Linked DNA regions of Cricetulus griseus. The protein of the gene in region 3 purifies or fractionates together with the protein of the main gene of each other region. This does not show direct contact. Links are inferred from orthologs where the notes say so. Each region holds a gene or a part of one and is shown on either strand. Other genes may lie near its edges. The genes, in order: Ncl, Nepro and Npm3.

What was found.
Region 1: the proteins of Npm3 (region 3) and Ncl fractionate together in Homo sapiens (co-fractionation; 4 studies listed by BioGRID and IntAct, with this or other methods). This does not show direct contact. The link is inferred for Cricetulus griseus from reciprocal best matches to the Homo sapiens genes NPM3 and NCL.
Region 2: the proteins of Npm3 (region 3) and Nepro purify together in Homo sapiens (affinity purification with mass spectrometry; 4 studies listed by BioGRID and IntAct, with this or other methods). This does not show direct contact. The link is inferred for Cricetulus griseus from reciprocal best matches to the Homo sapiens genes NPM3 and RMP64.

What each region holds. Positions count from the first base shown.
Region 1 is NC_048595.1:438,025,940-438,033,388, reverse strand, and holds the start of Ncl (nucleolin), read left to right. Parts: upstream 1-3,179; 5' UTR 3,180-3,341; coding exon 3,342-3,359; intron 3,360-4,291; coding exon 4,292-4,408; intron 4,409-6,071; coding exon 6,072-6,564; intron 6,565-6,799; coding exon 6,800-6,988; intron 6,989-7,074; coding exon 7,075-7,161; intron 7,162-7,208; exon of another isoform or gene 7,209-7,278; intron 7,279-7,350; coding exon 7,351-7,449. UniProt on the Homo sapiens protein: Nucleolin is the major nucleolar protein of growing eukaryotic cells. It is found associated with intranucleolar chromatin and pre-ribosomal particles. It induces chromatin decondensation by binding to histone H1.
Region 2 is NC_048597.1:45,715,064-45,721,839, reverse strand, and holds part of Nepro (nucleolus and neural progenitor protein), read left to right. Parts: intron 1-996; coding exon 997-1,151; intron 1,152-3,334; coding exon 3,335-3,414; intron 3,415-3,706; coding exon 3,707-3,838; intron 3,839-4,272; coding exon 4,273-4,350; intron 4,351-5,959; coding exon 5,960-6,324; intron 6,325-6,648; coding exon 6,649-6,710; intron 6,711-6,776. UniProt on the Homo sapiens protein: May play a role in cortex development as part of the Notch signaling pathway. Downstream of Notch may repress the expression of proneural genes and inhibit neuronal differentiation thereby maintaining neural progenitors.
Region 3 is NC_048596.1:15,813,382-15,820,523, forward strand, and holds Npm3 (nucleoplasmin-3), read left to right. Parts: upstream 1-3,429; 5' UTR 3,430-3,471; coding exon 3,472-3,589; intron 3,590-3,875; coding exon 3,876-3,961; intron 3,962-4,169; coding exon 4,170-4,289; intron 4,290-4,402; coding exon 4,403-4,496; exon of another isoform or gene 4,497-4,618; intron 4,619-4,807; coding exon 4,808-4,917; 3' UTR 4,918-4,926; intron 4,927-5,002; 3' UTR 5,003-5,025; coding exon of another isoform or gene 5,026-5,032; 3' UTR 5,033-5,383; downstream 5,384-7,142. Other genes in the region: Oga (protein O-GlcNAcase), read left to right, coding at 692-828; Fgf8 (fibroblast growth factor 8), read left to right, coding at 5,026-5,032. UniProt on the Homo sapiens protein: Plays a role in the regulation of diverse cellular processes such as ribosome biogenesis, chromatin remodeling or protein chaperoning. Modulates the histone chaperone function and the RNA-binding activity of nucleolar phosphoprotein B23/NPM.

The DNA.
Region 1 (7,449 bases), on a different chromosome or scaffold from region 3:
CTCAGTTACTCAGGTTATAAATTCAGGCCTCAAATTCATGGTAATTTTCCAGCCTCACCCTTTCAAATGCTGTGATGATAGGCATAAGCTACTGTACCTAGCTCTTTTGTACCTTACTTATGTGGTTTATTTATAACCGATTTTTCAATTAGTATTTGATGAAATCCAGGTGTAGGAGGAACACACCTGTAATGCCAACGGTTAGAAGGCAGAGGCAGAAACACAATTTCCAGGCTAACCTGGGCTACATAACAAGACTATCTCAAAAAGAAAAAAAACCAAAACAACATACTGAGATGTGATATGCTATCAAAGCTGGAACTAAAAGAGATGTGCACAGTAAACAAATAGCAGGGCCTTTAATGTGGGGAAAGGAACCTAGAAATCTCATGATTGTTTTTGCCTTTTGGTCTTGATTTCAGTCCTCTCTCCTTGGGACAAGAAGATGACTCAGTGGATAAAGTGCTTGCTGTAAAAACATGAGGACTCAAGTTCAGATCCCCAATATCCCTGTAAAAAGCATGGGCTGGCAGCACATAACTGTAACCCTCGTGCTAAGTGGTGGTGGGTGGAGGGAGCAGAGACGGGGATCCCTGGCATCTGCTAGCTTGGGGAGGTAGCTGCTAAGTGCTAGCCTGGCATGCACAAAGCCAAGGTCAATCCTCAGAGCCACATAAAACCAAGGGAGGTAGCACACACTCATAATACCAGCATTTGGGAAGCAGATGAAAGAGATCAATAGTTCAAGGACAGCCTGAGATACATGAGACCCCACCTTAAGAAAATCAGATAGTGAGCAACAGCATTCAGGCATCTACCTCACCCCTGTCCTGTCTCCTTACTAGTTCGAGGACTGCACAAATTGACTCTTTGTCCTCATGTTTGTGAGCAGTGATGCTTTTAGCCTATTTTGGATACATTTATGAATTTAAGATTTCCAAAGAGCTGGAATAGAGTCTGGTACCTGGAAAGCTTCACATGTGTATTAGGTATTGTTGACCAGATTGACTACACAGTAACACGGCTCGACACCAAGCTGTCCCTTTTGCTGCTGCTTCACTTAAACTGTGTTCTTTTTTGAGACAGGGTTTCTTTCTGTAGCTTTGGAGCCTATCCTGGCACTCGCTCTGGAGACCAGGCTGGCCTTGAACTCAAAGAGAATCACTTGCCTCTGCCTCCCGAGTGCTGGGACTAAAGGAATAGACCACCACCACCTGGCTAACTACTTGTGTTCTTAAATCACATTTCACATACAACATTCTGCCTCTACGTATGCCTTGCACGTCAGAAGAGGACACCAGATCTCATTATAGATAGTTGTGAGCCATCATGTGGTTGCTGGGAATTGAACTCAGGACCTCTGCAAGAGCAGCCAGTGCTCTTAATTTCTGAGCCATCTCTCCAGCCCCTAGCAAGTACCTTTTAACACTATTATGTGCCAGGCAATACTGTAGGCACCAGGAATACAGCAGACAACAGTTTGTGTTCTCCTGGCTGGCTGGGGAAAGGGCAAATTAACAATAAACAGCCAAGAAAAATACTAGGTAGGTGATACGACCCAAGAGCATAAGTGAGGGTCCAAGAGTGAGTCTCCTAGTGGCACTTTACACCAGAGGTCTGAGGAAGGCCCCATACAGGTAGATCGGATCGAAAAAGAGAAGTCATGCCAGTGTTGCTGAGATCCATCTGTGTCATCTCACAGCTCACCTGTCTCCTCCCAAGTGCCTTTAGCCTCCTCTGCTTGGAAATACCCAGGGTCTTGGCTCACACCAATCATTTTTCCTGTCCCTCTACCCAGGAGTCTCTCTTGGGGTCCATCTCAAGGTGTGACCCTTGTCACTGTCTCTATAAAGACAAAGCCTCCACATCACTGCACTGGTTCCCACCTCATGCCCTGACCATAGAGCATTTTCGTGGAGCTGTGTCCTCCACCGCGTTGCGAAGGACTTAGTAACAAGCATCACGCATTAACTATTTCTACTTGTCTCCAAAGACCCGTGTTCAGATAGAAAACGTGGGACCCAACACATCCTGTTTGCACTAAAATCTTCCGAGATGGGCCAAGGCGTGGTGGCGCACGCATTAATCTCTACACGCGTGAGGCAGGCAGGTCGAGGCTAGCCTGGTCTACACAGTGAGCTCCAGGACAGCAAGAGCAAATAGTTAGGCCCTGTCTCAACATCCCCGACAAAATCTCCACAGGTGATCTATCAACCAATATCATCAGTTGGCGGAACCCTGACTATGCAGAAAATTAGGTTTTAGATGCCCAGGAGGTACCCTAGAAGGGCTCCAGTATGCCACGCCTGGAACCCAAAGTCCCACACACAGGTCTAATCCACTCACGGCAACTCTGTCCTTCAGGCCATTGAGGGAAACCGTGAGTGGCCACAGGCCGGCAAAAAACTCCTCCAGCACACACCAGGAAGTCACCTCTCCGAGACCGTCCCCATCAGGAGTTAAATCTACCGCGCGAGGTTGGACATTAAGCGAGCTGTTTGAGCACTGCACACAGGCGCGCACACACGCACGCAACTGCCTTTATTGGGAGCTGTCTCTCAGGAGAACAGCGGCCCGCGGCGCAACACTAGAGCCCCGGGATGTTCTCGGCTCTGCCGAGGGCAGGCCGAGGGCCGCGAGCTGGCCCCAGTGGGCTCTAGGCCCTCAACTTCCGGCGCTCTCCGGCTCCTCAGCGGGAACGCGCGGCGAGCACTTGAGGCCGCCGCGGAGTCCACGGTGGGGCGCAGCTTCCGCAGCGCGGGGGATGCTCGGGCCACCCACCACCCCCCACCCCCCCGGCCACGCGAGCCCGGAGCTCCAGGTAGCAGTCGAGCACTAGGAGGCGTCCGGGCCACGCCGCCATCCCCGAGCCCCTTCCACAAGCCGCGCCAAACGGGCGCGTTGCACCGCGCAGGCGCGGCGAAGGCGAGCCGCTAGGGCTCGCCGAGAAGACGCGCACACCAGCCAGTCAACGTCCGCCTTGCGTAGAGCTAGGCCCGCCCCCAGGGCGCTGCCGTCAGGCCCCGCCCCCGGCGGACCCGCCCCCACGCCGTAGCCCCGCCCCCACGCCGTCCTGGGTTGAAGGCTCGCGGTTGGCCAGGGGGACGGACGCGCGCTCTGGTTGGTGGAGGAGGGGTCACGAGGACGCCGTCGTCGCCTTTCCAGAGGCGATTACTGGGCAGGCTCAGTCTTTTGCCTCAGACGCTAGCTGTAGCTGGCAGTCGCTCGTACGTGCTCCAGAGTCCACCGTGCCCGTCGCTGCCGCCCAGCTCGCGTGGGTTCCCCGAGGCTCTCCCGAGCTGCGCCCTTCGCCGCACGCGCCGTCGTCGCAACCCGCCACCATGGTGAAACTCGCAAAGGTGAGAGGCCTCGCGCGCGCCGACGCGGACGGACGCCTGGGCCTGCTTTCTGAGGGGCGCGCGCGCGCGCGTCGCTCAGGGGAGGAGGGCCTGCGCGCAATCCCGGGCGCGTTCGAGGGCGCCATGCTGGGGAAAGTCTCGCGCGACTAGCGGGAGGTCTCGCGGTGTTTGGCCCCTGACTTGGTGGTGGGGGAGAGCCGAGGCGGGTCCCGGGAGGTGTGTGTGTGTGTGAGCGCGCGCGCGCGCGTGTGTGTGTGTGTGTGTAGGGCGGTGAGATCGGAGCCGCCGCGAGGGGAGAAGGGGCGACAGGCCCGCCGAGGGGAGATGGGACCCAACTCGTGGGCCGGCGCCGGCGTGGCCCCGCCTCCTGGCGCACGTGCTCCGGTGCGCGGCCCGCCACGTGGGTTTTGGCGCTCTGCGTGTGTTGCCCGTCTCGGGCTCGGGGAGTCGCGGGGTACCGGGGAGGGGGACAGCGGGACTGAGCTAGGTGGGTTCCCCGGCGATCCCCAGCGCCTGTCCGTGACGGGCAGGCCAGCACGTGGTGGACACCTGAGGGAGCGCGTGGTGGCCTGCGTGGTACCTCCACGTGGCCCGCCTCCAGAGTGGCGACGTCGGAAGTGGTTCTGTGAAAGACGTGCTCCTCTCCAGAAGGGGCTACCCAAATAGATACCCCTGCCCCGGCAGATGATTTAGAGTGAAATTCAAAGGGCAATGAATGACTAGTAGATTGTCTTCAGTTGTCTCTGGAAGGGAAAGACAAGTTATATAGGTGATTCTCAGGAAAGATTGCCACATATAATAATGCCAATGATGTCACCTGTGCTTAGGGCCTTTAACAATATAGACAGTGGGCATTAAGAAAGAAGATAATGGCGAAACGCAAAATGGCTTACAAATAGGGTATCGACATGATTTTGTGTGCACTTGTGTAGGCCGGCAAAACCCACGGCGATTCTAAGAAAATGGCTCCTCCTCCAAAAGAGGTGGAAGAAGATAGTGAAGACGAAGAAATGTCCGAAGATGAAGAAGATGACAGCAGTGGAGAAGAGGTATACAGCTAATAGGGCAGCGGTGCCCTCCCTTTAATTCCAGCAAGAGGGACGTAGAAGGCAGGCAGTTTTAGTGAGTTCAAAGCCAGCCTGGTCTACAGAGGGAGTTCGGGGACAGCCAAGGCTACACAAGAAACCCTGTCTCAAAAACCAAAAAGAAAAAAAAAGATGTAGAAATAGAATGTGTGTTAATAAAAGTATTCTAAAGCCGGGCGGTTGTGGTGCACGCCTTTGATTCCAGCATTCAGGAGGCAGAGGCAGGCGGATCTTTGTGAGTTCAAAGCCGCACATGGTCTACTTAATGAGTTCCAGGACAGCCTCCAAAGCTACAGAGAAACCCTGTCTCCAAAAACCAAAAAAAAAAATACAGTAGTATGATAACAATAGTTGAGTGACAAGTTCTTTATTGCTATTGAGTAGTTAAATAAGAGTATTACAGTCCACTTGAGAGGGATGTAAATTTCACTCAGGTTTCACATGCTGTATTGAATATTGATTGTAGGCTGTTATTTTTCCCTACATTTTTGGAAAACAGGGTTTAATCCAGTTTGATTTGTTTTCATTCAGATCATGGTCACGTGATTTCATGGTGTTTGGTGAGAAGGACATTACGACTAGAAATTCCCGGGTGTTTTTTTTTGTTTGTTTGTTTGTTTTTTGAATCAGGATCTCAACATGACCCTTGTGGTCTTAGAACTCAACATGTAGACCAGTCTGGCCAAAAATTCTCCTGAATAAAGGCATTAGTCATTGCATGAAGCTAGTTAAGAAACTTAGGGCTTTGATTTAGATGAGAATTGGAGTCAGGGTCTCAATAGTTCAGGAATCACTATATTTATTTTACTCCTATTCCCGTCATGCATGTTTTGTTTTTTAGTGCTGATCCCTATCACTAAAGTAAGCTTTAGCCTATTATATAAGCTTTTATAGAGCAAGTCAGTTTTTAAAATACATCAGATATGGATTGAAGGCTGCTACTTACCAGTTTGCTGAATCTGGTACTTATTAGCACTCCTACTTGTTGGTTCATTTAAAGACATGGTTAATTAATTTCAGGAGGCAGAAGTAGGGATAGTCTTGGAAATCAGGTAAGCTGGGGGTATGTAATCATTATGCTCAGATTTCTTGTTTAGAAGAGCTATATTAGTAATAAGCAAAATTTGGGTTTTGGTGGAACATTTTTCAATGAAAATAAAATGCATACTTGTTATAACTCTGCTTAAGGCTGATGTGTAGGGGTGGAGTTGGAGACCAGTTTCATTTATGAGTGTTTCTTAAACTTGGGTATTTGTGTGATAAGCACCTGCAGTTGTAAGCCATGTATTCTGATTCCAGGGTTTAGGATTTAGTGTGTTGGAGTTAGGGTTAGAGTGTTTATCTGTATTTGTATGAGTGTACTACTAAGCATGCCTGGTGCACTTAGGCTAGAAGAAAACTCTTAGGTTCCCTGGAACTATAGTTAGAGCCATCATGTGGATGCTGAGAACTGACCGTTGGTCCTCTGCTAGAGTAACAAGGGCTCTTAACTGCTGAACCGTCTCTCTAGCCCTTTCACCCCAGGGTTTAACATATACCTAATTCCAGTGTTGAGCTCAAAGTTAGTATCAGTATGTTAATAACATTGGATATACGGAAAGTGCTTATTATTTGTTTTACTTTTAAGGTTGTCATCCCTCAGAAAAAAGGAAAGAAGGCTACAGCAACTCCAGCAAAGAAGGTGGTTGTTTCACAAACAAAAAAAGTTGCAGTTCCCACACCAGCTAAGAAAGCTGCTGTTACTCCAGGTAAAAAGGCAGCAGCCACACCAGCCAAGAAGGCAGTTACACCAGCCAAAGCAGTTGCAACACCTGGAAAGAAGGGAGCCACACAAGCAAAAGCATTGGTAGCAACCCCTGGTAAAAAGGGAGCTGTCACTCCAGCCAAGGGGGCTAAGAATGGTAAGAATGCTAAGAAGGAAGACAGTGATGAAGATGACGATGACGACGATGATGAAGACGACAGTGATGAGGATGAAGAGGATGAGGAAGAGGATGAATTTGAGCCACCAGTAGTGAAAGGAAAACAAGCAAAGGTAGCTGCTGCTGCTCCTGCCTCAGAGGATGAAGACGAGGAAGAGGATGAAGAGGAGGAGGAGGAGGATGAAGAGGAGGAGGATGGTAGGTGGATTTCTGTTTGCAGGATGATTAGGAGATCTTGCCAACAATAATGCATGTAGTTTTCCTGACCACTTCGTGCTTAGATTAGAAAGTCACATTTTGTGCTCATAGTTCTTTCCATAACTTAGCATGCTGTCAGAATTTTATTTCTCTAAGACTTTTTTAGTGTGTATAAGATTCATGTTATCTGGATTGGCAGCAAATGCCCTTGCTTACTAAGCCAGCTCTCTTTCAGACTCTGAAGAAGAAGAAGCTATGGAGATCACACCTGCCAAAGGAAAGAAAGCTCCTGCAAAAGTTGTTCCTGTGAAAGCCAAGAATGTGGCTGAGGAGGATGATGATGATGAAGAGGAGGATGAAGATGAGGAGGAGGATGAAGAAGAGGAAGAAGATGAGGAGGAGGAGGAAGAGGAAGAAGAGGAAGGTAAGCAGATTACATTGAGGTACACTGACCTCAGTAATGTTTAATGGAAGTGCTTACCTACTCATGACACTAAAAATCTTATCCAGAGCCTGTTAAACCAGCACCTGGAAAACGGAAGAAGGAAATGACCAAACAGAAAGAAGTTCCTGAAGCAAAGAAACAGAAAGTGGAAGGTAAGCCTGTAAGATTGGGGACTGTGAGAGGAGATAAAGGTAGCAATAGCACAAGTGATGAATGACAAAGGGACTTAATACTGAAACCTGGTGTTGAGATTCAGTGTGCTGATGTGCTTTATAGAAGTTTTATGCTGATGTTTATGTATGGTGAGGTTTTAAATGAACTAAAGTTAATTTTCTGTGCAGGTTCAGAATCAACTACACCTTTCAATCTGTTCATTGGAAACCTTAACCCAAACAAGTCTGTTGCTGAATTAAAAGTTGCCATCAGTGAACTTTTTGCTA
Region 2 (6,776 bases), on a different chromosome or scaffold from region 3:
TTCACAGCTGCTCATGTTAAGATTAGGAAAAATCTGTACAAACTCCCCCCCCCCCCCTCCAAGTTACATACTACAACTTCCAGTGGCCCTGGTGGTTTCTCTTTTCTGAATGTAAAAGAACCCAAACCCTATTGATATCCATGGGGGGATTTTGGTTCCAGGAATGCTTCTATTAAAAAAATGGGCATGTGCTCGTCTTTTATTACATGTTAGATAGATAGTTTTTACAGTGTGGCCAATACTCATCTTTCTGTATACATTAACCCTATCTGTAGGTTGCTTATGATACTGAATACAATGTGACTGCTATTGACATACAGTAGAGATGGAATTTGTGGGGACTGTATTCAGTGTGAGGTTGGTTGAATGCAAAGATGGCACTTACTGATAGAGGGCTGAGTATATTATATATTCTTATCAAAAAGTGGTATCCAAAGTAGAGTTCCTTTTACTTTGCAGGCTGTGACTTTATTCCCTCTGTCTTGCTTACCTGCAGAGGGTTTCATTGACAGATGCAACATGTGCCCAGCTTTTGTATTTTTGGGGTATAAGTGATCATCCCCAGATGATGACTGTAGAGTAGTCACAGTACTCATGTCAAGGTAAAAGTGATGTAAAGACATCTACACAGCCAGGGTGGGCGGTGGCACATACCTTTGATCCCAGCACTCGGGAGGCAGAGACAGGCGGATCTCTGTGAGTTTGATGCCAGCCTGGTCTACTGAGTGAGTTCCAGGACAGCCACCAAAGCTACAGAGAAACCCTGTCTTGAAAAACAAAGCAAGCAAACAAAAAGAGACAATACACATTCATGTTCAACAAATGTTCTCTTATAGATCACCTGATATCATTTTCCAATTTCTTAATACTCAGAATCCTTTCTTATATTTTTCTTTAAGGCAAATAAGTCAGAATGTTCCTTTCAGAGTATTTCTCATCTGATGCAGTAGATGTAGACATGCATACTGAATCTTGTTTTAACTGTTTCTGCTTTAGATATTTGCATTGCGGCTGTCATTAAAGGATGCCACCTTGTCACACAGTCAATCAAGAGCAAAACCTTAGATGCGGAAGTGGATGTATTATGCTCCGTTCTCTACAGCAATCACAACAGAATGGGCCGCCACAAGCCCCATTTAGCTCTCCGGCAGGTGAGGGGAAGCTCCGTTCCACATGCAGCCCAGTACTGACGAACATGAGGATCACACTGCCACTTACTATTTTGTTATTTATGGAAAGTTCATAAATTATTTTGATTCATAAGTCTACAAGACACAATTACGTGTTGGATATTTTGGCCTTTTATTTTCCCAAAATATTTTCAAAAAGTAATTTATGATCAAGAAATATATTTCAAAGCTGGTGCACACCTTTAATCCCAGCACTTGGGAGACAGAGACTGATTAATCTCTGTTGGTTTAAGGCCTGCCTGGTTTGTATAGTGAGTTTCAGGACAACCAAGTCTATGTAGAAAGACCCTGTCTAAAAGAAACAAAACAAAACAAACAACAACAATAAAAAAATCTCAAAAAAGAAGTATATTTCAATTCTTTCCAGTTTAATTTTTACTATTACAGTCTTTAACAGTGCCTTTGCCTAGTATAAAAGTAAACTAATTTAAACCCTAAAATCTTAAAAATGAAAACAGTTGTGGCTTAGTGTTGTGGTTGACTTCTTGTGGGGTCATAATGTCGTCAGCAGTGTGTTGCTGTGAGTGGTTTATGGTACGCAGTGATGTGAAGTGCTTTCATGTAAGTTTTGGAGACTGAGAAAGTATTGTGGCCTTTAGCTCCATGACTCCATGGCAGAGAGCTGCTGGAGGTGGGTTCTCTATGTGCCATTCACACACTCTTTGCCAGTCCTGCAAGTACCCTTTCAAAGCTCAGTGTGCTGCCCACTCGTGTGAGAGCCATCTTTCCAGTACTTATGTGTTTTTCACAAAGTTCTCTGTTGACATCATACTTGGTGTTGGATATGCAGCAATAAAAAGACATAGTCTCTTCTGTACAGACTCTTTCTCTCTGGTTAGCTATACTCCCATTGCTTAAGGCCCAAGGGATGAGGATGCTGTCTTCAAAGAGGATCACTGTCTTTCCCTAAGTTGTCTTCTCTGGGGCTGCTTTAACCCAGGTCTTCTAAACCAAGAGCAAACTTGTTCACTACCTTCTTGCTGAAGTTCTTAACTGCCTTTTCCCTTCCCTTCCTCTCTTACCCTCCTCCAAACCGTATTTCACTCATTGTAATTTCCTATCTTAAAAGATGGTGTCTAGACTTAGAAATTACAAAAGATAGGAGCCAGCCCCAGAGAATGTCAGGGTTGAACTATGTTGAAGTAGAGTCCGTAACAATGATTTGGATTTTAGTAGTATCTGTAGCTCTGGCAAGGTTGGGACTCATCAATAGCAGTTCCCATCAGGAGCCTTACATCCTCCAAAGTGCAGGTGCAGTCCAGGGAGGGCCCTTGGTAGGCATTCCTGAGAGGGCGTTTATACAGCATTCTGTATGCTGTATAAACAAGCAGCATGGCTTGTTTTCTCCTGAGAAAAAAACACTAAGCCCTGTTCTAAGAGCTGGATTACACTGGTGAACAAAATGGATGAGTATATTGTCCACAGGGAGCTTACAAGGGCAGGCAGACAGCCAGTCAGCCAGTAACTGGCTATGCCAGCTGGTAAGAGTGCTGCAGGGAAAAGCAGAGCAGGGGAGGTTGCGATTTTAAATCAAGCATACCTGTTGTAGCTTTAAGATAGTACTTTGTGTGTTATCTGTCCTTACTACTTGAAATTGGGATGTATCATATACCACGCTGTCTCCCAACATGCCTTGCATGCAGTTAGGTGCTCAGGATAGATTTGTTCTAGGACTAAGTCACTTTCTTCATTTCTGGTGTTTACAGACTATTGAAACTGAGTAAAGAATTGGCTATCTTGTTTTACTAGGTTCACTGCTATAAGTATGTTCCCTCAACAGATTATAATATTAAGACATACTCATTTTGATCCCTTCATAGCATCGAGTACTTGGCACATAGTAATTTCTTGAATTGAGAGATTTGTTGGGTTGGTTTAATTTCATATTTGTAAGCAGAAGCAATTGCTTTGGGATTTGGGTTTCCTTGTCCTTAAATGAGAAGGTCTTATGCGGCACATTTCCATACTGTGAATGTTTGCTTTCTTTGCATTCTTCTTGGTCATATCTGTGACACTGCTGTATTACATGCATACTAATTTAAATGGATCTTCCTCCTTCTGTTTGCTTTCTTTGCATTCTTGGTCATATCTGTGACACTGTTGTATTACACACATTCTAATTTGAGCCCATCTTCCTCCTTCAGGTAGAACAGTGTTTAAAGCGTTTGAAAAACATGAATTTGGAGGGCTCAGTTGAAGACCTGTCTCAGTTGTTGTCTGCCAAGTAGGTGGCCCATTGCTTTGTCAGGATGTCTTTGCTATTCTCTGCTTGGTGTTGAGCTATAACCAACTATGCCAAGATCTATACATTATGTTTTAATAAGGGGCACCTGTTGATTGATGGGAGGGACTGGTGGGACATGGAAATGTGGCTCACAGTAGGTTACAGTGAAAGAACAGTTGGTTGCTGATAGGCATAACCACCTCAGGCTGAGCCTAAAACAAGCCTTCACTTGGATAGTGCTGTAGAAATGTGTTTAAAAATGAAAGTCATGTCCTTTTCTGTTTATGTCAAGTGAAACCCAGCCAGGAGCTACTGAAAACCGTGTTGTCCCCAGCCAGCCGGTGGTGGAGGTGGTGCTGATGAAGGTTTTGGGAGGCTGCAAGTTGTTACTGCGCTTGTTGGACTGCTGCTGCAAGGCATTTCGGTATCCTTGATTATGGGAACACCTTCTTTGGAATGGGCCTGTTTGGGTATCTTTATAGCCTCTGTTTAAAAGCTGTGCTATAAGGTGGGGTAACCTGTGGGAATTCTTAAAGCGTTGCCTTTTGGCTCCTCTTCTAGCAACTGCTAGAAGAGTTGGCCCGTGCTAGAAGGGTATAGCCCGTGCCTAGCATGAGCCTACCTAGCATGTATTCTAAGAGTTTAACCATTAGAAATTCTTACTCCCACATACTAACTGTAGTAATAGGAGCTCTAGTAGAATAGACATTTCTCTGTTTTTAGTGTACTGTGTTGTTATTGCCATGCTAGGACTTTAATACCTTCACCGTCTTCTTTACGTCCAATTTATTTCTTTCGTCATTTTAACTAACAAATCTTCCTTTGGTTTTATTTTTCCAACCTAAACTGATTCTTCAGGTTGATCGTGAAGCACTTAGGACTGCAAGAATTCATTATTTTGAACCTTGTGATGATTGGGCTGGTGAGCAGGTTATGGTATGTTTTCCTTTCTACAGTTGTGTTTCATTTCTTTTTCATGTTTGCTCAGTTTCGTTTCACACCGTTGGCCCTAGGATCTGAAGACATGCTCTTTTCTGTCTTCCTATGACAGTTTATTTGCAGATTGTAAGCTGACCTGTTTCTTATTAGTGTTCTCACAATTTCATTTCACACTATTGGCCCCGGGATCTGAAGGTGTGGGTTGCCTATCTTCTTATGACAGTTTAAAGATTGCAAGCTGAGGGCTGGTGGTTATGCCAGAGGAATGGGCTTTGCTTCTGAAACCATACAACTAGCCTGATACTGAGTAACTCAGAAAGTGAATCCCTAGGACCTAAGATTATAATAATAGTAATAGTGATAATAATAATGATGATGATGGTGGTGGTGGCAGTGGTAGTAATATTGTAGTAGGCTTTTGAAAAAGCTGCTGTTCCTGTGGTGTCCATATCTTGATTCTTTCTGACACCTGATTTCTAATTTTAATAGCAATTAGAAATACAATTTGACCTTCCCTGTATGCTCTAGACTTTTCTTCTGCCTAACACACGACTGCTTTAGAAGCATATTTGGTTAGTGTAAATAACACTAGTAATACTCACCCACTAAAAAAAGGCATTTTCCTTTTTTTAAGAGCTCTTAAAAAAAAGATTTACTTGCTTATTTTATGTGTATGAGTGCTCTATCTAAATGTATGCCTTTGTGCCAGAAGATCCCACTATAGATGGTTGTGAGCTACCATGTGGTTGCTGGCGACTTGAACTCAGGACCTCTCGGAGGGCAGCCACTGCTTCTGACCCATCTCCACCCCTCCCCCCAAGACATTTTCTTGTGTGAGTTTGTGTAGCATAAAACGGTTTGATGGATAAGCAGACACAGAATTGGATCATTAGCTCTAATTTGAATATAGCAAAAACTGTCAAAACAATAAAAGTAAACCCAGAAGATTCTACCATCAAACATAAACCTTGCTTTCATGTCTTAACCCAGATATCTCATTTGTATTTTGTTTTCTTTTCATTCTGCTTATTCATAATCAGAAGTAATAGCATTTGAATTGCTAATGTTACTTTGTTAATAAAAAAATTGAGAGAGGCTCTTACTGTGTAGCCCACGCTAGCTCTGAATTCATGATTCTATTACCTTAGCCTCCCAAGTGTTGTAGGTGTATACTCCCAAGCTGGGCTTGCTAATCATATTATTTTAAAATGTTTAACTTTTACCTTTTTCTGAAATGAGAAATAATTTACATTTTACTGATTAAAACAAAGGTTTATGCTTAGAAATCCCAAAACACAAAAATGTGAAGAACTTGAAATGCACCTGAAATCTCATCTCAATAAAATAACCATAGGATTTTTGTGTGCACTTATTTGACACGTTTCTAGGAAGTTCTTTTTGTGTAGTGTTTAATATTTAGATTTTTGTGTTTGGGGTGGATTAATCTGGCAGTTTGCAAATACACACCTTAGGCATTTTGTTTGGTTTTGTTTAATCTATATTTGCAGAACTTGATAGCTCTTTATTTTCTGTTTTGGGCCTTGTGTTTATTGCATATCTGCAGACGATGTTATTAGCGGATTCATGAGCTTCTGTTTCTTTCTAGGGTTCTCCATAAGGGACTTTTAAGGAGGCTGGTTTCCTTATACGAGCCATTGTTCCAGTTGCTTCAGGAGGTCTCCAGGATTCATCCCATGCCTTACTTCAAAGAGTATGCCTTTCCTTCTGATGTCACTGATTTTCTAGGGCCACCTTACGTGGAACTCTTTAAGGGAAAACCGCCTGAAGCTGTTGCCACTAAAGGAGTAACTAAGTTGCTAAATAAACTGTTTACAATGAAAGAACAACTACCAAAGGTCAGTGAAGACACTCTAGATAGAATTTCTAAAACATCTGAACAAATGAAGAACAATGCACAGAGTAGTATGGACCTGGGACAGCCAGTGAGAATGAGCAAAAAGACCAGAAAAGGTGAGTTGCTTAGATGAGTACATACTCTTTCTTGTTTCTTTTAAAATTCTGTTTATTTTTATTCTTTCTTTTTTAAACATATACTTTCGTGCATTATCTAGAAAGAAATTCAGAATTCCATTTCTTAAGTCACTGATTATATTTAGTTAGGGAGGTATGAATGTTGCCCATTTTCAAAGCTTTGCTTCTAGTTCCTTCCTGGGCTTTTGCTTTCTTCTCTTCGTTTCTTTGCAGTAACTTGTCAGGAAATGTCATGAGGTTAAGAATTTGTTGGTGGTTTGAAAATCTTATGGCTCAGTTTTTATTTTCCTTTTAATTCCACAGAAAAGCCATCAGGATTTGATGTGCGAGCTCTCTGCACAAGGCTTCGAAACAAGGCTACTCAGGTCAGTGTGGTTTAACCTAACGCAGCTTTTCATTTCTACCAACTCTAGAGAAAGCTACTTGCTAAG
Region 3 (7,142 bases):
ATAGTGGGTTGTCTTCTACCTTCCACACGGAACCTCTGCCCCAAACATACACACAGAGGATAAGTAATTTTTTAAAACAATGTTCAGCATTCTGATATACAGGCTTGTGACAGACTAGAGTAGGTTCTGCCTCAGGGATTCCTGAAAGTGTGTTAGGTGCTTTGAACAGAACTTACCTTTACTTTGAATGCCATTTCTCAAAGAATTTTCTTTTGTGGAAAGAGTTTTGCTTGCTTGCTTGATTTAAGGCAGTGTGGTGGCGCATGCTTTGAACAGAGGCAGGTGGATCTCCTGAGTTCAGAGTGAGCCTGCTCTAGTGATTTCTAGGCCAGCCAGGGCCACACAGTGAGATCCTATCTCAAAAACAAAAAAGAATTTAAGCAGTGAAGTAGTGGCAGACATCTTAAATCCCAATACTCAGGAGGAAGAGGCATTCAGATCTCTCTATACTTGAGGCCAACCTGGTCTGCAGGACAGCCAGGGCTACACAGAGAAAAACCCTGTCTCAAAAAAATTTTAAAACACATTGTGAGGCTCAGACTGTAGTTCCAAGTTATAAGTATAGCAAAACAGATAAAGAAATAAATGTATTGGTAAGAAATTTAGGGATAAAGCTTTCATCTATATTAAACATGATTCATGGTTATATTATATATTTACTTATATTTAAAACATTTTGTTTTATTTCTAGGATCCCGGGGGGCTTTCTGTGAAGTAAGACCAGATGATAAAAGAATTCTGGAATTTTACAGCAAGTTAGGCTGTTTTGAAATTGCAAAGATGGAAGGATTTCCAAAGGATGTGGTTATACTTGGTCGAAGCCTGTGACGTTGGTTGGCACTGTGAACTGTCCAGAGTCTCTTAACCCCACCTTGTGGTTGGTGGTTGAGGTCTTCACACAGTTCAGTGTCTGGAGCCGTGACAGATAAGCCAGTTGAATTGGAAACAAAGATGACTATAGAACTCACCATCCCCTGTTCAGACTGCTCACTGGTTGGAAGATAGTACTGCTGCATATCCTGCGGGAAAAAGATGTGGTGTGCCTCTCCTTTGGGTCTTGTGTTAGGTGTCAGGACCTCTTATGGGGCTCTGTAGGGAGAGGGTCTCAAATAAATGTAGTCAGCACTATTTTCTGCATCCAGTGTGGTTGCATTTCTCACCTACGAGTAATGAAGATCACTCTTTGTTCTCCGTGGTGCTGAATGAACTGTCTCTGTTCTTTGGAGACATGGCAGGAATGACAAAGAATTAGTGGGGTTCCAATTTGGGGCAATTTTTCTGCTTTTTGTAAAGCTCTGGCTAACTATCTCCTATAATGTTGGTTCAGGCAGTTGTGCTTTGTAGGGACAAATGTGCATTTGTTTGTGGCAAAGGCCTAAATGGACAAACTTGTAAATTTCTTTGTATATAGACTATAGCTGTAACCTGACTGTTCTTTTTGTTTACTGTTTTTATATTTTTTTTTCCTTTGAAAATGAAAGGTGTTGGTTTAGGGTGGCACTTTGAATAATGTAAACCAGTGGATGGTAGATTTCCTTTACGTTTGTCTTTAAAATGCCTCCCACATAGGAATAGGCCACGACTATTGGGGGGAGTGTCAGCTTTATAGGACTCAAATCTATTGGGAAGTGCATTACTTCTGGAGGTTAACCTTCATTGCAGATACGCATGTGAAATGTTCTGACATTGTTGTCATGTAAGGGTAAGTAAAGGGACTGACTCGTCTCTTCTGCCCTTAGAGCAGTTGTCATTTTATCTCAAGACCTGTTAACTACTGGTTTAATTGAATCAGTCTTTAATTCTTGCATGTTTGTATCTAATTTTTAAAAGAAAGAATAAGTATATGTTAACCATAAGTATACTTTTTCTTTTAATCAGAAGTTCTGAAAACTTCATGTATTTTAATTTAGATTTGGTGAATTTAAGGGTTTGAGCATGAAGCTGGCAGATGGTCTCTGCAGGGTTTTTTTTTTTTTTTAAATCATGGCTAGCTAGTGTCTTCTCTCTAGATTTCAACAGTATTTTGTTATCTTCTCTCAAGTTTTTCATCAGCTTTTGAACTCTGAGCTGAGGGGGGAGAGAGAAAAAGGAAACTTGAACATTTACTTTTATAGAACTCCAGTGTGAGCTTTTGAGATAGTCTTAAATTTAGCACTAGTGTACCTGGTGACTTCCAACTGAGGCCCAGGAGAGAGTGCTTGCTTAGAAGCCTCTTAGGGTAAAAACCTGTGATAGGCTATGTTGGAAAACTGAAATCAAGTTTGGTTTTGAAGGCTGAGGTGAAGGGCAAAATTTTTACTAGATACTAAAACCATTTAATGTTCCTCACCTTTCTCTTGAGTACAGCCCCATACTCTAGTGGGAATTACCACCTTTTATTTGGAGGGTTTCAGAGTCAGTTTCTTATGGAATCAGGAATTTTAAACAAGTTGCTTTTTGTTTCATGTTGGCTTTCAGTAATCACTTTGAATGATCTGAACATACCTGAAACATGTCCAGGTTTATACCATCATCGCTCTGGGATAAAGTGCTGTGCCAACTTACATGGTTATGAATATTAAGGTTGGAATATCATTTCATTGATTGTTTGAATCACAGCTCAGTTTCTGTAGAAAACAAACTGTAAAACTATCTGAAGACCATGCAAGAGGCAAAATAAAACTTGAAGTGAATTTGTGTGATAGTGTTCGACTTTTCTCTGCTCTCCGTCTGTTTCCCATCTCTTGATGCCTCAGCTAAGGCAAGCAATCTTCTCCCCAAAGCTGTTTCAATGTAGCCTGGAATTTGAAGACAGCGCTCCTTCCTGCCTTCCTCAGCAAAGAACTAACTTGCAGTTTTTCTCAGAAAGGTTCCTTTGTCTTTAGTTAGTTGCCCTCCTACTACAGTTACAATCTGTGAAGTAGAGGGGTTGCTTCTGAGTTTCTCTGTAGGGAGTGCAGTTGTTCTCCTTAAATAGGGGATACTGGTGTGGGGGTGTGTAGCCTAAGTTCTGTGAGGAGAGTCCTAAGGAGGAGGGTGTGCCTCAGCTGCCGGGAAGTGGGGCTCCAGGGCGGCTTGGATAGGAGCAGCGTCCATCCCGATCAGGGAGCTTATCTGAGGGGCGTCTAGCGCGGCCAAGGTGAGGGTGGGAATCCCTGAGGAAGGGGAGGATGGCTGCCCTGAACCACAGCGTCTCTGGACGAGGAGGCACGGAGGCGTATGACAGTAAGGTCGCTCCGTAACTGCGGGGTGGAAGAGAGGGTCTCTGGATGTGACGAGCTGTCTTCTGAGGCCGGGCTACCTGTCCTTGCGGAAGCGCTGACGGCTGCTCCCGCCCGTCCGGCGTGCGGCGTGCGGCGTGCGGCGTGCGGCGTGCGGCGTTCGGTTCGACTCACTCTGGCTGCGCGCGGCTCCTTTAATGGGCGGGGCCGGAACTGGCCGCGGTGCGGCGTGCGGTGCGTGCGGGGGCGGGGCTTCTCAGGCCGTTTCAGCATGGCGGCCGGCGCTGCTGCTGCTCTAGCCTTCTTGAATCAAGAGAGCCGAGCCCGGGCCGGGGGTGTGGGCGGCCTGCGGGTCCCGGCTCCCGTCACGATGGACAGTTTCTTCTTCGGTATTGAAGACTGGCGGGGCAGAGGGTGGTTCGGGGGCGAGTGAGGACCGCGGCCGGGCGCCGGGGGTGTGGGCCGAGGGTTGCCGGCTTTCCCTAGCCCTGCCCTCGGCCTGCAGGCCCAGAAGCTCGCCCCCCAGGTGCCTCAAGAAGGAACGCTTGGCAGCCAGGCGGCCCGTCAGCCCGCGGCGGCACGTGGCCGGGCGGGAGGGGCTGCGGGGTGTGTAGCGCCCTCGCGCGCGGCCCTCCGCGCGTGCTCCTCACGCGAACGAACGCCGGGCTCTTGCAGGTTGTGAGCTCTCCGGCCACACCCGCTCCTTCACTTTCAAGGTTGAGGAAGAGGAGGACACGGAACACATGCTGGCGTTGAACATGGTGAGGGGCTGGAGAGAGGGCGCTGGGGCCATGCACGCATCTCCCGCTCCCCCACCCCTGGGCCGGGAGTCGCTCGAGGCCACCCTCAGCGGGCTACTTCTCTGGGCCCCTCCCCGCGCACCCCCGGGTCTGGGTAGGCCTCAGGGTTAGCGGTCTTCTCTGTGGTGCGGGCCCTCATTTGAGACTGAGGTTCTGTATGCGCTTTCAGCTGTGCCTTACCGAGGGGGCCAAGGAAGAGTGTAATGTGGTGGAAGTTGTGGCCCGGGATCATGACAACCAGGAGATTGCAGTTCCTGTGGCCAACCTGAGGTTATCTTGCCAGCCCATGGTGAGTTGTGGCCATCCGTTCATTGGAGTACGGTGGGGCATAATTGAGAACTTCAGTATCAGTCCCAAGGTGGCTGGGCCAGAGTGGATCAGGCCTTCATTCCTGTCTTCCAGCTCAGTCTGGATGATTTCCAGCTCCAACCACCTGTAACCTTCCGCCTGAAGTCGGGTTCTGGGCCTGTGCGCATCACTGGCCGGCATCGGATTGGTGAGAAGACTGGGCCCTCCCATCTCTCCACCAGTGCATCCTGAGTCCCAGATTGTGGTTCCAGTATTATGTGCCTTTCACTGCCCCGCCCAAGCCTATGAACTTCTGGTAACCTGTCCCAGGTGCCGCAGCCCCAATGATGTGGGCAGGCCCTCTTTTTCCTTCTTCGGGGTAGTGTCTGACGTCTGTCCTTCCCATCTAGACTGGAAGAAGGGGTTCCCGTCCCCCTAGCACTCCAGGGAATTGAGGACCGGGCATGTGGTGTAAGGACGGTTGGCTCTAACCTCCCGTCTGACCGTGTGTCTCCACAGTTTGTATAAACAATGATCTTTCTGAAGAAAGTGAGGATGATGAGAGTGAAGAGGGGGAAGTCAAGCTGTGTGGCATCCTTCCTGCCAGAAAGCACAGGGACAGGCCCTAGCCCTCTCCGGTGAGTAGGAGGGGAACTGGGAAGTTAGGGGAGCAGGTGAGGGCTCAGACCCTGACTTCTTACTTTGTTTTCTCAGGTTAGCCGCTTGCTACAGGCATCATGCACCGTATGTTCCTGGACAAGTTTCAAGAATTGTAAATGTTTTTCTCGTTGAAGAGGAGAGTTTGGGAAGGGGCAGGTGGGAGGAACTTGGACCGGTGCTAAGAGAACTGCGTTCTCCACAGGGCCCTGTGTTTACTCCTACAGGTTGCCTGAAGCTTCCCTTTTCTATTGGGGTGGGATGACCTTTGAACATTGACCCCCCCCCACCTGCCCAGATTGAAAGTTTTGTGAACCCCCAGGTTAAGTTCTCAGCACTGAAAAAAAAGAAAAAAAATAAAGTTCAGAACAACGTTTTTAACACTTTTTACATTTTTAGGTAAAGATCTAAATAAAGTGGTATGTGGTTTTTTTGCAATTCTTGTGTGGCTTTTTCCAACCATGAGGTTTCCCTAGGGACCACAAGGTGGCACTGTGGCAGCACAGAGTGGTCCTAGTTCCAGGGCTGGTGAGAAAATGTGGCCTCCTGTTCCCCAGGGCCTAACTCGGGCCTAAAAGTCCCTTCTGCCCTGCAGCAGAGGGACCTCCCGTTGCCGCCTCTTCGGTGTTTCTGCAGGTGGGGGAGGGCCATCGCAGGAGGTTATCAGCTTCCAAACAAGGGGTCTGGGCCTCTGTCAGCACTCAGGCTGATGGGCAGAGAGGGACAGATAAGTGGGCTGAAGAAACCTGAGGAATGTGCATCCCTAGCCCCATGAGGGGGCTCAGCCCAGGGAGAGAGCCTGTGAGGGGTGGGGTTGGGACCTGTCCTGGCTCTTCTGGTCTTTGAGGCAGGTTGAGTAGAGCAGGGTCCTTAGAAACCTGATTCCCAGGGCCAGATGGAGGGAACTGGCCAGATTGGGTGACAGAGAAACCAGAATCCGGGTGGCCTGGCATATGGGGGCAGAAGGGAGCTCACGGGAATCAGACGCCTCTGCTGAGGGGTCATTACCTCCCAGAGCTCCACACTGTCTCATCCCTAGAATCGGTGTTTCTGGGGACTGGCTACTGCTATGCCACGAAGAGAAAGGGGGTTGCTTGTGTGAGGACTGTGTGCACCCAGCTCTGGGGTCAGCAGTTCAGCTGTGTTGGGGGGGGGGTCAATGCCCTACAAACAAACAAAAAGGTGACCTCCCCAGACAGGCTGAAGATGGACAGAGAACAGGGCCTGAGAGAATCAGGTTAATTCACACCAGCTGACCAGCAAGTAGGGGGCCTGTCAATAATACAGAGGCTGGGTTGGGGGCAGGTGGTCGACTTCAAGGGTGTCCCCCATAGCATAGAAAGCAGTACCTAACCCAGGCGTGGTAGCACATGCAAAGCTTGGGAAGCTAAAACATGAAAACTGAGAGTTGGGAGGCCAGCTTGGGCTCCAGGGGTAGGGTAAGGAGGAGAGAGAAGTGGTACCTCTTAGCCTTACAAGTTTTTCCTTATCTATGTGATGAGTTAGGTGTACGTTTTCAACCTCCCTTTCTCAAGTGGAAGACAAAAGACGCCCTTCTGTGTTTCGGAGATCAGGGTCTCCAAGCCCAGTACCTAACTAACCTCGAGGTGTTTCCACCACCGACCCTGCCAGGAGTCATTCGCGGAGTCTCGAACTGGAGCGGAAGGCAGAACTAGCGCCCTCTGGTGGGCTTGCTTAAAACTGCTTGTGGAAACGCTCCCTAGGGGCTAACGCCCGCTAAGGTTAAGGCGGGATAAGTCACTAAGTTTTGAATACATGCACGCTTTCGTTTACACGAAATACTCGAGCTAGGAGAGAGGAGTTAGTTGGTGGTATTCCCTTATCCTTTCGGCTTCTTCCTCCAACCCCTGGGTACGTGCATAAATGCAGAGACTAGCCATCACTCGGCTACCCCTTGCGCGTACTCCCCCACCATCAGTGTCTACCCCCTGTGACTCCGTTGATCGCCCATTGTATTTCTCGCCTGTTTTCCCAGTGGGTCTCCCGGTGGGTGAACTACGAGCAGAGTTCTGCCCGCAGTGGGAGCCCAATCCACATTTGCCTTCTAGTTCTGGAGTCTCCCGGCCCCTTGTGGCGCGGAGCAGACAGACTTGGGAATTGTTTTTCCCCCCTTCTAGATCACACCTTTCCAGGAGACCCCTTTTCTGCACTCTCAGCACACAACAGGAGTGCTGCC